3 linked regions of the Cricetulus griseus genome follow. The protein of the gene in region 3 interacts with the protein of the main gene of each other region in a biochemical or structural test. Links are inferred from orthologs where the notes say so. Each region holds a gene or a part of one and is shown on either strand. Other genes may lie near its edges.

What was found. The genes of interacting proteins can lie anywhere in the genome.
Region 1: the proteins of Stat1 (region 3) and Mcm5 form a complex in vitro, tested with the Homo sapiens proteins (2 studies listed by BioGRID). The link is inferred for Cricetulus griseus from reciprocal best matches to the Homo sapiens genes STAT1 and MCM5.
Region 2: of the proteins of Stat1 (region 3) and Prkcd, one has a biochemical effect on the other in vitro, tested with the Homo sapiens proteins (2 studies listed by BioGRID). The link is inferred for Cricetulus griseus from reciprocal best matches to the Homo sapiens genes STAT1 and PRKCD.

Annotation. Positions count from the first base shown.
Region 1 is NC_048596.1:150,892,374-150,895,583, reverse strand, and holds the end of Mcm5 (DNA replication licensing factor MCM5), read right to left. Parts: coding exon 3,208-3,210; intron 2,654-3,207; coding exon of another isoform or gene 2,622-2,653; exon of another isoform or gene 2,304-2,621; intron 1,974-2,303; coding exon 1,846-1,973; intron 999-1,845; coding exon 897-998; 3' UTR 511-896; downstream 1-510. UniProt on the Homo sapiens protein: Acts as a component of the MCM2-7 complex (MCM complex) which is the replicative helicase essential for 'once per cell cycle' DNA replication initiation and elongation in eukaryotic cells.
Region 2 is NW_023276807.1:189,126,266-189,129,783, reverse strand, and holds part of Prkcd (protein kinase C delta type), read right to left. Parts: intron 2,765-3,518; coding exon 2,664-2,764; intron 1,413-2,663; coding exon 1,238-1,412; intron 1,012-1,237; coding exon 911-1,011; intron 806-910; coding exon 632-805; intron 423-631; coding exon 331-422; intron 1-330.
Region 3 is NC_048595.1:403,728,019-403,732,026, forward strand, and holds the start of Stat1 (signal transducer and activator of transcription 1-alpha/beta), read right to left. Parts: upstream 2,811-4,008; 5' UTR 2,650-2,810; intron 2,386-2,649; 5' UTR 2,269-2,385; intron 1-2,268. UniProt on the Homo sapiens protein: Signal transducer and transcription activator that mediates cellular responses to interferons (IFNs), cytokine KITLG/SCF and other cytokines and other growth factors.

The DNA.
Region 1 (3,210 bases), on a different chromosome or scaffold from region 3:
AGAAACCCTGTCTCGAAAAACAAAAAACAGATACTTTATTTTATTCACTTTTCCTTAATTTCATGAATTCTAGATTTCTAAAAGCATAACAAAACTCTTTGTGGTATTTTGATAATAAAAGTGCTGGAGAGCATCTTCCTTTAACAATTCTTTCCTAGTACTTTCTACCATGCTGGACTTAGGTTAGGTCCTCTCAGCTCTATTACTGATAAGGCCTGAAGTCTGGTTCCTTTCCCAGGAATAGATACACAGTATGGAGGTCCCAGAAACTCACCTAGCCCACTTTGATGTAAATAAAACCTCAAATGTCACTGGAGGCTTTCTACACTGCAGCCTACTTGGATTTTCACTGACAACCACTGAACTCACTGAGCTCAAGTACAACCCTATGAGGCAATGTCAAACTTGTTTGCACATTAGGAAACTGAGGCACAGATAGACAAACTTAGTGAATAATCCAGTTCTCCCATCAGGTGCTGCTGTAGAAAGCTGAGTGAGTCAACCCCACACTTTACACAGAACCACTGTCACACTGGCTCCACTGCTCTTAGCAGCCAGGGACTTACTTTATTTCCTCTCGTCACATGAAGAAGCTCGGCAGCCTGGCAGCCCAGGAGCCAGTATACAGACCTGTCTACCTACAGAGCCTGTTCCTGCTTGCAAAGGAGGCAGGACAGAGACTAGGCACCTACACCAAAACTCTCAGGCATCCAAACACAGTATATGAGGCCAAGAGACCAAAGCACATTTCCAGGGGCTACAGATGCACAGCAGGCAGCAGTCAGAGGGGAGAGTAAGGCAATACATCCTCCTTCTGATGGAGGTATGCACAAGTGCAAGAACATGGAGGTGGAGCAGTGGCCGCATTCAGGTTTGAGGGTTGACAGGCAGTGGGCTCACTTGAGGCGGTAGAGCACCTTGCGCTGCATGCGGTGTTGGACCTCTCCCCTGCGCAGCATGAGCTGCAGCACCTTTCGGATGGCATGCTCTGGATACTTCTGTAGGAGGGAGCAGAAGACACATACAGAGATTATCAAGACCCAAGGGAGCCCATGAACCCCCTTGCTCATAGACAACTTTACATCAGACAAAAAGCTTCCACCTTCATTCTCCCTTGACTTCATATCATTAGGGCTTATACTTTGTAATGCCTGTGTACCAGGAAAGTATAGTCTTATGTCAACTTTTTTGCAACCAGTATTAGGAATTATTTCACAAAGAAACAGGCAGAGGGTGTCACTTGTTTGAGGTCATATAGCAATTAAGTGAGCTAACACCGAAGTCCCTGTGACCCTAAAAACCTAACTTTCTCCAGCCCCAGCCTCAGTAAATGCTAATCTTCTTTCTCACCTATAGAGCAGGGCAAGTACCAGCTAATGTGTAAACTATTCCAGAAGCAAACTGAGAGGATACACGGGAAAGGAAGCCAAGAACAGAAACCAGGCCTATCTTCCTGATTTTAAAGGGCACAGGTTCCTCCTGGCATCCAATAGCAGCATCTCCTCTGCATGGGATCAATAGCCCTCTGCCCAATGGGTTACAGGGCTCATTCATCTGGTTCTTGGCTCCCTACCCTGTAATGAGCCAAGCAATAAGGGAAAGACTAAGAAATGGGGAAATTAGGTGGTAGTTTCTCCAAACCTGGCTTCTAAAATTTTCCCACTTCACGGTATATATAAACAGCCAACCCCAACTGTAGCATTTCCTAGGGAAAGAATAGTGGCTCAAACATCCCCCCTCCCCAGTACTCCACTATTGAACATAGAACACAGATCAAGGGAACCAGGATACCTTCTGTGTATCCTGGGTGTGGTTTACAGGTTCCCAATGTTTAGGAAAGCTCACCTGCTTGGTGAAGTCCTGAACAATGCTGTGTTCAGACACCTGGGAGCCAATGGCAAAGCGGCGCTTGAGTTGCTTCTCGATACGGCTCAGCATCTCTTGGTCCTCCTGGGTAGTGAAGCCCTCCGCCCCTGTGAGTGCAACAGGGAACTGAGTGCTAGAAACCCCAATTTATCCATACTGGGAGGGCCAGAGAAACGGCAGCCTCTAAGTAGAATGGCCTAAACCAGGCCCCAGAAAGGAAATTAAAGACAGAAAACTGCATCAGGTGATAATGGGGCCTCAACAGGGAAGTGAGAACCAAGAAATATGGGGAAGGGTGTTCTAGGCAGAGGGGAATTGCAACATAGGACATCCAACAGGCCAGGTGGCAGAGACAAAGCCACCATAACTGAGATCCAGGTACCATGAGGCCCTGTGGGCCACACACACGGAGGCAACAGGAATAGCCACAGAAAGGCTCTGATGGAAGAAGAGTTTTATTTAGTTGGGTTTATTTATTTTTGAGGGAAGGTCTCAAACCTCAAAAGACACCTTCCTGCCTCTGTAGCACCATGCCCAGTGGAAGTACAAGTTATGAGGTACAGAGCAAGAAGGGAGGGAAGGCAGAGCCTGCTAGGATCCAAATCTGGGAGGAGGCACCATTCATGAGAAGTCTTGGGTAAGAGAGAAGCTTACAATCTTCACCAGATGGGAGAGCATCATTTCTTTTCCAACATACCTGGCCCAGCTGGCACCAATCGCCACCACCACCCCTTTCACTACCTATACCTACCTCCTCACCGTGTCCCACCAAGAAAGGGAAGAAAACCTATGAAATGGATAGGACAGGGATGTTGAGAACTGCTTGCTTACAGCTCTAGCACCTAGATAGTGACTGGCAATACTAAGCGAGAATCCCTGCCAGACTAGGGTGGAACTAACTTGGAAGAGGCTGGCAGAAGACTGGCTGAAAGCAGGCAGCAGACATTAGGGCTCAGGGACCAACAGGCCTATGTTCCACTAAGAGTGGTGACCAAGGCACCACAGAAACTCTATGTCAGTCTCATCTCCACAATGGGAAGGATGGACAACCTGGTATCCCAGATGTGGCTGTGAAGAAAAATGAGACCATGGGCTGGGAAACTACAATTCTGAGCTCAACACAGAAGGGAAAGACAGTCATTCTTCACCGGTGACAGGCCTACAAGTACTTTTAATGAACAGCCTCAAGAAGTCTAGGGAGAAGCTCCTATAATAGTGAAAATAGCCAAAGGAGAAGTGGGGACAGACTATTATCAAAAGCATATCTAGGCAGCACCCTGCAGGCCACCAGCTAACTAAATCTCTACCTAGGGTCAAGACTACAGCCTAGTACCTACTCACCTG
Region 2 (3,518 bases), on a different chromosome or scaffold from region 3:
CACACATGTACAAATACATGCCACTTGTTGAGGGGTATACAAACACTTGAAGGTATCAGTGCTGTAGTCCCGGGGCCACCCACCAGGGTCCATGGAGTACAGAGCACTGTCTATTCTGCTGTTCTGGCTAGGCCCAAAGAGAAGACAGGACCTAGGGTACCTGTGCTGGCCCCATAGCCAGAGCTTGCTTCCCAGTGTCCCAAGTCTCCCCAGTGCCAGCTCTGTCCTGACTCAAGCTTTTCCAGCGGGGGGTGGGGGAAGAAGGATATAGGGCAGACTGGCAGTACACTCAAGCCAAAGTCCCTCTCCTCACACAGGGCCCTCACATACGTAGCCCGGTAGAGTTCGAAGCGGCCTTTGTCCTGAATGTGGTACATCAGGTCACCTCCATTGAGGAACTCCATCACAAAGAACAGGTGGTCCTGGGGGTAGGAGAGAAGGGATAAGCAGAGATAAAAGTGACAAGAAGGAGGTACCCTTGCAAAAGATCACAGAGCCCCAACAGGATGTAGAGAGCATAGAATCTGGGCTGAGGTTGACAGCTTAGGAGGTATGACTGTAACAGACACAGCTCCACTGTGGGGGAATGATGGGGTCGGGGCACAGGCAATGGCAGGGAAAGGCCAAAAACCTTGGTCTGGAAGGTACAGAAGAGGTGGGTGAGAAAGGGATTCTCCCAGGCGAGTGCCAGCACCCGCTTCTCCACCATGGTGCACTCCACATCATCGTCGATCAACACCACGTCCTTCTTCAGGCACTTGACCGCAAAGAACTGGTCTTTGCCCTTTAGCTCCGCAAGCAGTACCTAGCGATGGGCAGGATGCTGAGCAAAGGCCCTGGAGGTTACCAGCACCCAGCTTCTGGTGTGTAACAGGAAACACCTGAACACTGGCCCTCAGGCTGCTCTCACCTTGCCAAAGCTGCCCTTGCCTAGCACTTTGTGGAAGACGAAGCGATCAATGCTGCACCGGGTGCTACCCTCCCAGATCTTGCCATAGGTCCCGTTGTTGTCTGTTAGAGAGATAAAGAGACTAAGGTCTCGGGGCTACATGACTCCCTTCCCAGGGGGCAGGAGTGGGCTAGGCAAGGGTCTCAAGAGTAGAGAGAAGGGGCTCACTTCCCATGGGTAGGACCTCTTCCCAGAACTTACTAGACAGAAAGACTTACTGGAGTCCCAAGGGTGGGCTGGGGAAGGGGTCGGAGAGAAAGGGGCTCAGTACCTCATCCCAGGACTCACGCAGCAAGGAAGACCGGCCCCTTTGTTTGCCCTTTTGGGGAATGGGAGCTTTAAAGGGGATATGTGACCCAGCTTCACCTGGGGCGTCATCCCCAGAAATTGTCATCTTCTTCTCGAATCCCTGGTATATTCCAAAACTCTCTGGCAATCCCGAGTCCAGCTTCCGTGAAGATCTCTAGGGAAAGGGCATAAGAAGGAAGCCAAATGGTAAGACCACTTTCAGAACTCCTAGGCCACAATATCCCCCTCAATTCCACTGGTGTCAGAAGGGTGGAGCCCAGGACTCCCAGGCCATATTCCTCCCTTCTTCTGGTCTTGTGATCTGAAAGGCACAGAAATTTAGTGAACTGAATCATAACTTCCTAAGCATTTTTTTTTTTTTTTTTTGGTTTTTCGAGACAGGGTTTCTCTGTGTAGCTTTGGAGCCTGTCCTGGCACTCACTCCGGAGACCAGGCTGGCCTCTAATTCACAGAGATCCGCCTACCTCTGCCTCCCGAGTGCTAGGATTAAAGGTGTGCACCACCAACGCCCGACCTTCCTAAGCATTTAATAAATGTTTAATTTTGTCAAAAATTGTTTACATTTCCTTGTGTATATGTGTATGTAGACATGCATATGCATGTGCACACATGCAGATGTCACAGGACAACCTATGGGATGTTTCTCAATGATTCTGCATGTTTTACGGAAGGAACTCAGGCTATCAGGCTGTGTGGAAAGCACCATTACCCACTGAAACATCTTGCCAGCCACTAACTTCATTTCTGGCCCTAGAGTTTTACTCTAAAGTTTTGTATTATCCCTTAAGTTCCAGTCACATCTAAATACACACACACCATAAGAACCCCATTCTTATCCACCCACCACACATTGCATTCACACACTGTATACACGTACACATATCATATATATTATGCATGTACAGCACAGAGGACATGTATACACAACACACACTCCACATGCCACCCACTCCTACATATAACATACCAAATACACAATGCACACCATGTAAACAAACCATATATACTATGCACATACCACATATTCTATATATACCACCCAACCACAGATAACACATTCTGGACACACACACTACATACCAAATAAATACCACATACGCAACACCCACACTACACATATCAGATACACCACACATACCACACAATACACCATACATTACGCGTATAACATAGACCTCGTCCTTGTTCAAAATGTCCCAACACTCAACTCTGCAGTTGCCATCTCACCTCAGGTAAAGAACTGGCTGGATGATGAACTTCCCAAGATAACAAGGCCACCTCTCTGCCACCTTAATTCATCAATGAATTAAGGCCTTACCCACCTTAGGGCCCCCCAGGCATTCTGTGAGCCCCGAAACCCTCTGCTTGCACTGCCCTATGTCCAGATCCCACTGCCCCTGCCTACCTGGCTCACTTGGTTCAAGGCCTCAGCCAAGAGCTTCTGGTTGATGCCACATAGGTTGGCCACCTTCTCTCGGCACTTGTGGTGCACATTCATGCCACAGTCTGCAAGAGGCAGAAGCAGGGCCACCACTGTTAGGTCTCATAAACGAGCAGGAAGGGAGGGGGACAGGGAAGGAGAGGGAGGCGGGGAGATAGGAGGACCTTTCAGACCTTTCAGACCTTTCAGGGGTGAGGGCATCTGAAGCAATCATAAGCATTTTGTATACTTCATGGTTTAAATAAAGAAGAAAACATCTGGATGCAGTAACGGATACCCATAATACCAGCAACTGGGAAGCTGAGGCAACAGGACTGCTCTGCATTTGAGGCCAGCCTCAGCTACACTGATCCAGGTCAGCCTGGGCTACAGTGTGAGTCTGAGGTCAAAGATAGAAAGAGAGGAGAGACCAGGGAAAGAGGAAGAGGGAGGCAAGGAGGGAAAAAGGAGAAAGAGGGAAAAAAGAGGAAGGGTGGGAGGAAGAGAAAGAGAGAGAAGAAAGGGAGGGGGAAGGGCAGGGAGGAAGGGGGAAAGGAGACAGAGAGGGAAAGGAAGGGGGACAAGGAGGGAGAGGGAGAGAGAATGGTAGCTAGTTATAACCCCTTCAACATCTGGGCCAAGTGACATGGGCAGCTTTCCTCGAGGCCTTGAGACGGTCCTGAAGGGAAGCCTGGGACAGGGAAGCCTGGAGCAGGGCCTACTAGTGTGTGGCAAGCCTTGGCTAAGCACTTCCAGTCACATGCTCCACAGTAGTCCCCAGCAGCACACTTGAGGATACAGCTCGGAGGCATGGAGACTTGTGGTCTCATAACGGTCAGG
Region 3 (4,008 bases):
TCAGCACTTTTTTTCTTTTTACTTCATTCTTTTTTTTTTTTTCATCTGAAGAAAAGGAGAGGGAACAATGTCTGGTACAAACTGGGTAGCCAATAAATATTTAAAAATGAATTTCTACTTTTTGCCAATCAAGTAGAAAACATTAATAGAATTAAGATATCACAAAAGCACTTTCTAAAACTTCTTCTACAAACTACAGTACATTTTAAAGCCAGTATTTTAGGATTATTACACTTTGTTTATTGCCTGTTTTGTGCCACATCATGTGGGTGGAGGTCAGAGGTCAGCCTGCAGGAGTTGGTTCTCCTTCCACCACGCAGGTCCTGGGAACACGGCTCAAGTCCTCTGGCTTGGCAGCAAGAGCTTTACCCACCGAACCATCTCTCTGACTTAAGTTGATATTTCGTATTTATGATTCATATGGTAAAGTATTTTTGTTAAACAAATTTTAAAAGAAATAAACTTTCTTTTGAATATGGCAGGCACATGTAGATAACATCAGGATATCAGCCTCCATCCTTTCTCTACTTTTTTGAGATAGGAACTCTACCCATTTTGGTTAGACATTCTCACCAGCAAGCCATGTGCTCTCTAGTACTGAAGTCACAGTCACATGTCATTACACCTGGTTTCTTTTTTTCTTTGTTTGTTTTAATGTGGGTATTGGTGATCTGTATGCACAGCAGGAGCTATGAGCAGTGGAACCATCTCCACAGATGGAAACAACAGCCAGACCTGGGTGACCTGAAATCACAGCACTTGGGAAAGCTGAGCCAAGAAGGCCATGAGTGCAAGGTCAGTCTGAGCAGCACAATGAGTGCAAGCCTAGCCTACAAGGTTACACAGTGAAACACTGTATCAGAAAAAGAGAAATATTCAAACAGCATTGCTAAATGCCATTTGAAAGAATAAAGAAGATAATTAAGAAGTCATTTTTTACATTGCAACCCTAGAGGTTAAAAATTACGGCAATCCCTAATTGAGGAAAGTCTTAAGAACAAATTTTGCATGACCATCATGTAACAGGACATACACCAGTGCCCACCAGCATTGCCACATTCAGAGTGGTGAAGCGAATCTAGTTCTGTCAGACCTCTGGAGAAAGGTCTGTGTTGTCAGGTGGGGTATGGAGGTGCAGGATAGATACCTGTTTTCAAACACTCATGCGCAGGAATAGTCATGTCTGTTAAACAAATGTCCCTCCAAAGGACAGCAAGGAAATGTCTGGACTATGAAGTCAGCTACCATTTCAAATACCATTAAAAAGGACCCCAGGCCATCATTGAGGCATGTCTGTGTAGCAATTTGATTTTTTACATCTGGTTTATTTACTTGTGTTGACATTCAAATCAGTGCCCTCTCCCCCAGTAGAGGCATGCCTGAAGCAGATGTGATGGACTTTCAGGCCCCGGGGCCTGTGTAACCTCTTATTAGCCAAGTGCTCAGACAACTTACTACTCTGCACAGGTGCTTGCAGGGACTGTGTGTGCTAAGCATACATAGCACCAAATACAAACCCGTGCATCAACAGATTTACCTTAACAAATCCAGCTGGGACTGGCAATACCCTAAATCAACTAGCTCAAACTGAGTTTGGGGGTGACTCCTTCCACTGAAGTCTTAGGACCAATTGTCTCCATGCCTCCTACAAACATGCTACCCTCCCAATCTAGCCTGTGCCTTGCTGACTGGAGTACCCTGCTGCCAACAATCAAAGTTCTAAGTAAGTGGCCCTTCTTTCTAAAGCTGGCTGTCACGCTTACATCTAGCTTCTTTTGGCGCCAGCCTTGCTGCATTCTGCTCGGCTATTACAGCATCAGCTCCAGTCTTCCCTGTGAAACATACGGCTGTCTCCCACAGCATTGTAAGCATAGAGCCTCAGAGGGGATAGTTTTGCTATTTTCATCCTCTGGTCCCCGAACAGCGACTGGTATGTGGCCTAAATCATAAGTGTTACTGTGTACGGAACAGTATGTTCAACTGAACTTTGTATGTTTCAGTAGGCAATGGAAAACAAAAGGCAAACCCTATGATGATCCTACAAGTTTGAGGCCAGCATCCTCACTGAGCAGCTAGGGCTCAAGTCACTTCTGCCAGATAAAAACAACTTTCGCCCACCTGTACACCTACCCCAGGGCTCTTTGGTGGTGCCCAGGAATTATTTTTAAATAAGTATGCCATTAATGGGTCTGCAGTAATTAAATAACTGGCTAAGGGCGGCTGCTGCATACTGAGGTTCCAAATGCATTGGTTTCCAAGAACACTTACTGGACTGCGAGTGTAGGCTGGGGATTCAACACAAGCAACCACCACACACAGCAAGTTTGGTGCCTGTTGCACACACAGGGTGGCAGCGGCTCTGGGGTTGGGACAGTACGGATGCAACTGTGGAAAGAAGAAATCGTTACATTGGTGGAAAGTGGCTATGAGGTAAGGCGAACAAGGGTTAAGGGGGAAGTTGCAGAGTCTTCTGGGGAGAGATTTCTATTGCACAGTTACCCCAGCAGTGCGAATGGACGGGGTAAGGGCTAGGCGGTGGTCCTGTTCACGTTCTCTCCGCGGGGTGACAGGTCATCTGAAGGCAGTGGACTCCAGGCCTAGGGAGGGGCACCCCACTCCCGCCCGCTCCCGCACCCGGCGCTCACTTACTGCACGCGGGTGCCCGAGTCTGGGCAGATGTTCCTGTGCCTCTCAGCTGTGTCCCAAGAGGGTCTGAGGGGCGCGGTCGCCGTGGTAGCCCAGGCGCCTCAACAGACTGAGAGCAGAAAAACGAAAGCACCGGGCGGGAGAAAAGGCCGGAGGGCGTCCCGCCTCTTTCCGCACCAGCCAATCAGAGGCGAGATTTAGCCGGCTGTTCCGCGGGCGCGCCGCCTCCCCCCGCGCTGCGTGGTTGTTGCTCGCCCTTCCTGTCCCAGCTCCCCACCCCGGCTGAGAACCTGGGACTCCTCTGAGCCGTGCAAACCGCAGTCTGGAGGTTCTGTTTACAAGTTTGGAGAACAACGAGAGGGAAGCTGTGTGCTTACAGAGGCTCAGTCTCGAGACCCTGCATTAACTAGCCGCATCGCCGAGAACGCAAAGTTGGGGACTAGGATTAACCTTTGTGTTACTAAAGCCAGAAGACGTCCGCTTAACTTGCTGTTTAAAAATCTTCAACACAAGGACTTAACTTTAACTCAGCAGTTAAGAGAACTTGTTCTTGCAGGGGAGGGAGATTGGATCCCCAGTGTCCACATGGAGGTGCCAGATCTGGTGCCCCTGATATCTACAGACACCAAGCATGCAGACGGTGCACGTACATAACATGCAAGTAAAACACATGAAATAAAATGAATAAATCTAATTAAGAAGTAAAACAAACAGACAAACAAAAACCAAAGCTTTAACCCAGCTGACACCTCTGTTGTTGAAGATTTTCCCCCTTAGTCGTCATGACTCAGAACCTCTTGCCCTTTCCTGCCTCTCTGGACTTCTCTATGGCCCCCATCTCCTTTACCAAACCACTAAGTGCGAAAGTCAGGACCTTACCTGCCCTTCTCCCATTGTACCTTTGATGGCCTCCTCTGTAGCTTCCATGTCCTGGATCACTCCTAGATGTATACCAACCCTTCCTTGGATTTCCTCCACGCTCACAGTTCCCTGTCCTTGGACACTTCTGACTCTATAAGCCCATTATATTCAAAACAAAAGCCACCAGCTCGCTCCTCATACCTGTTCTTACTTTGGAAATGATGTATGACCAGTTACAGAAGCTATGTGCCTTCTCCCCGGTCCCCAACGCTTGGTCCTTAAGCCTCACTGGGTCTCACTCCTGTTTCCTAAGTCTCATTTTTGACTTCTCTCTACCTCTTGCACCACACCTATCCTCTTGCCTGGATTACTGCAGTAGTTTCCCAAAAGACTGCCTTGCCTCAGCTCTTTGCTCTCACTTAATTCATTCTCCGCCTCGTCATTAGAGTGATTTTTATCTAATTGCAAAGCTGACCATGTCATTCCACTCTTAAAAAAAAA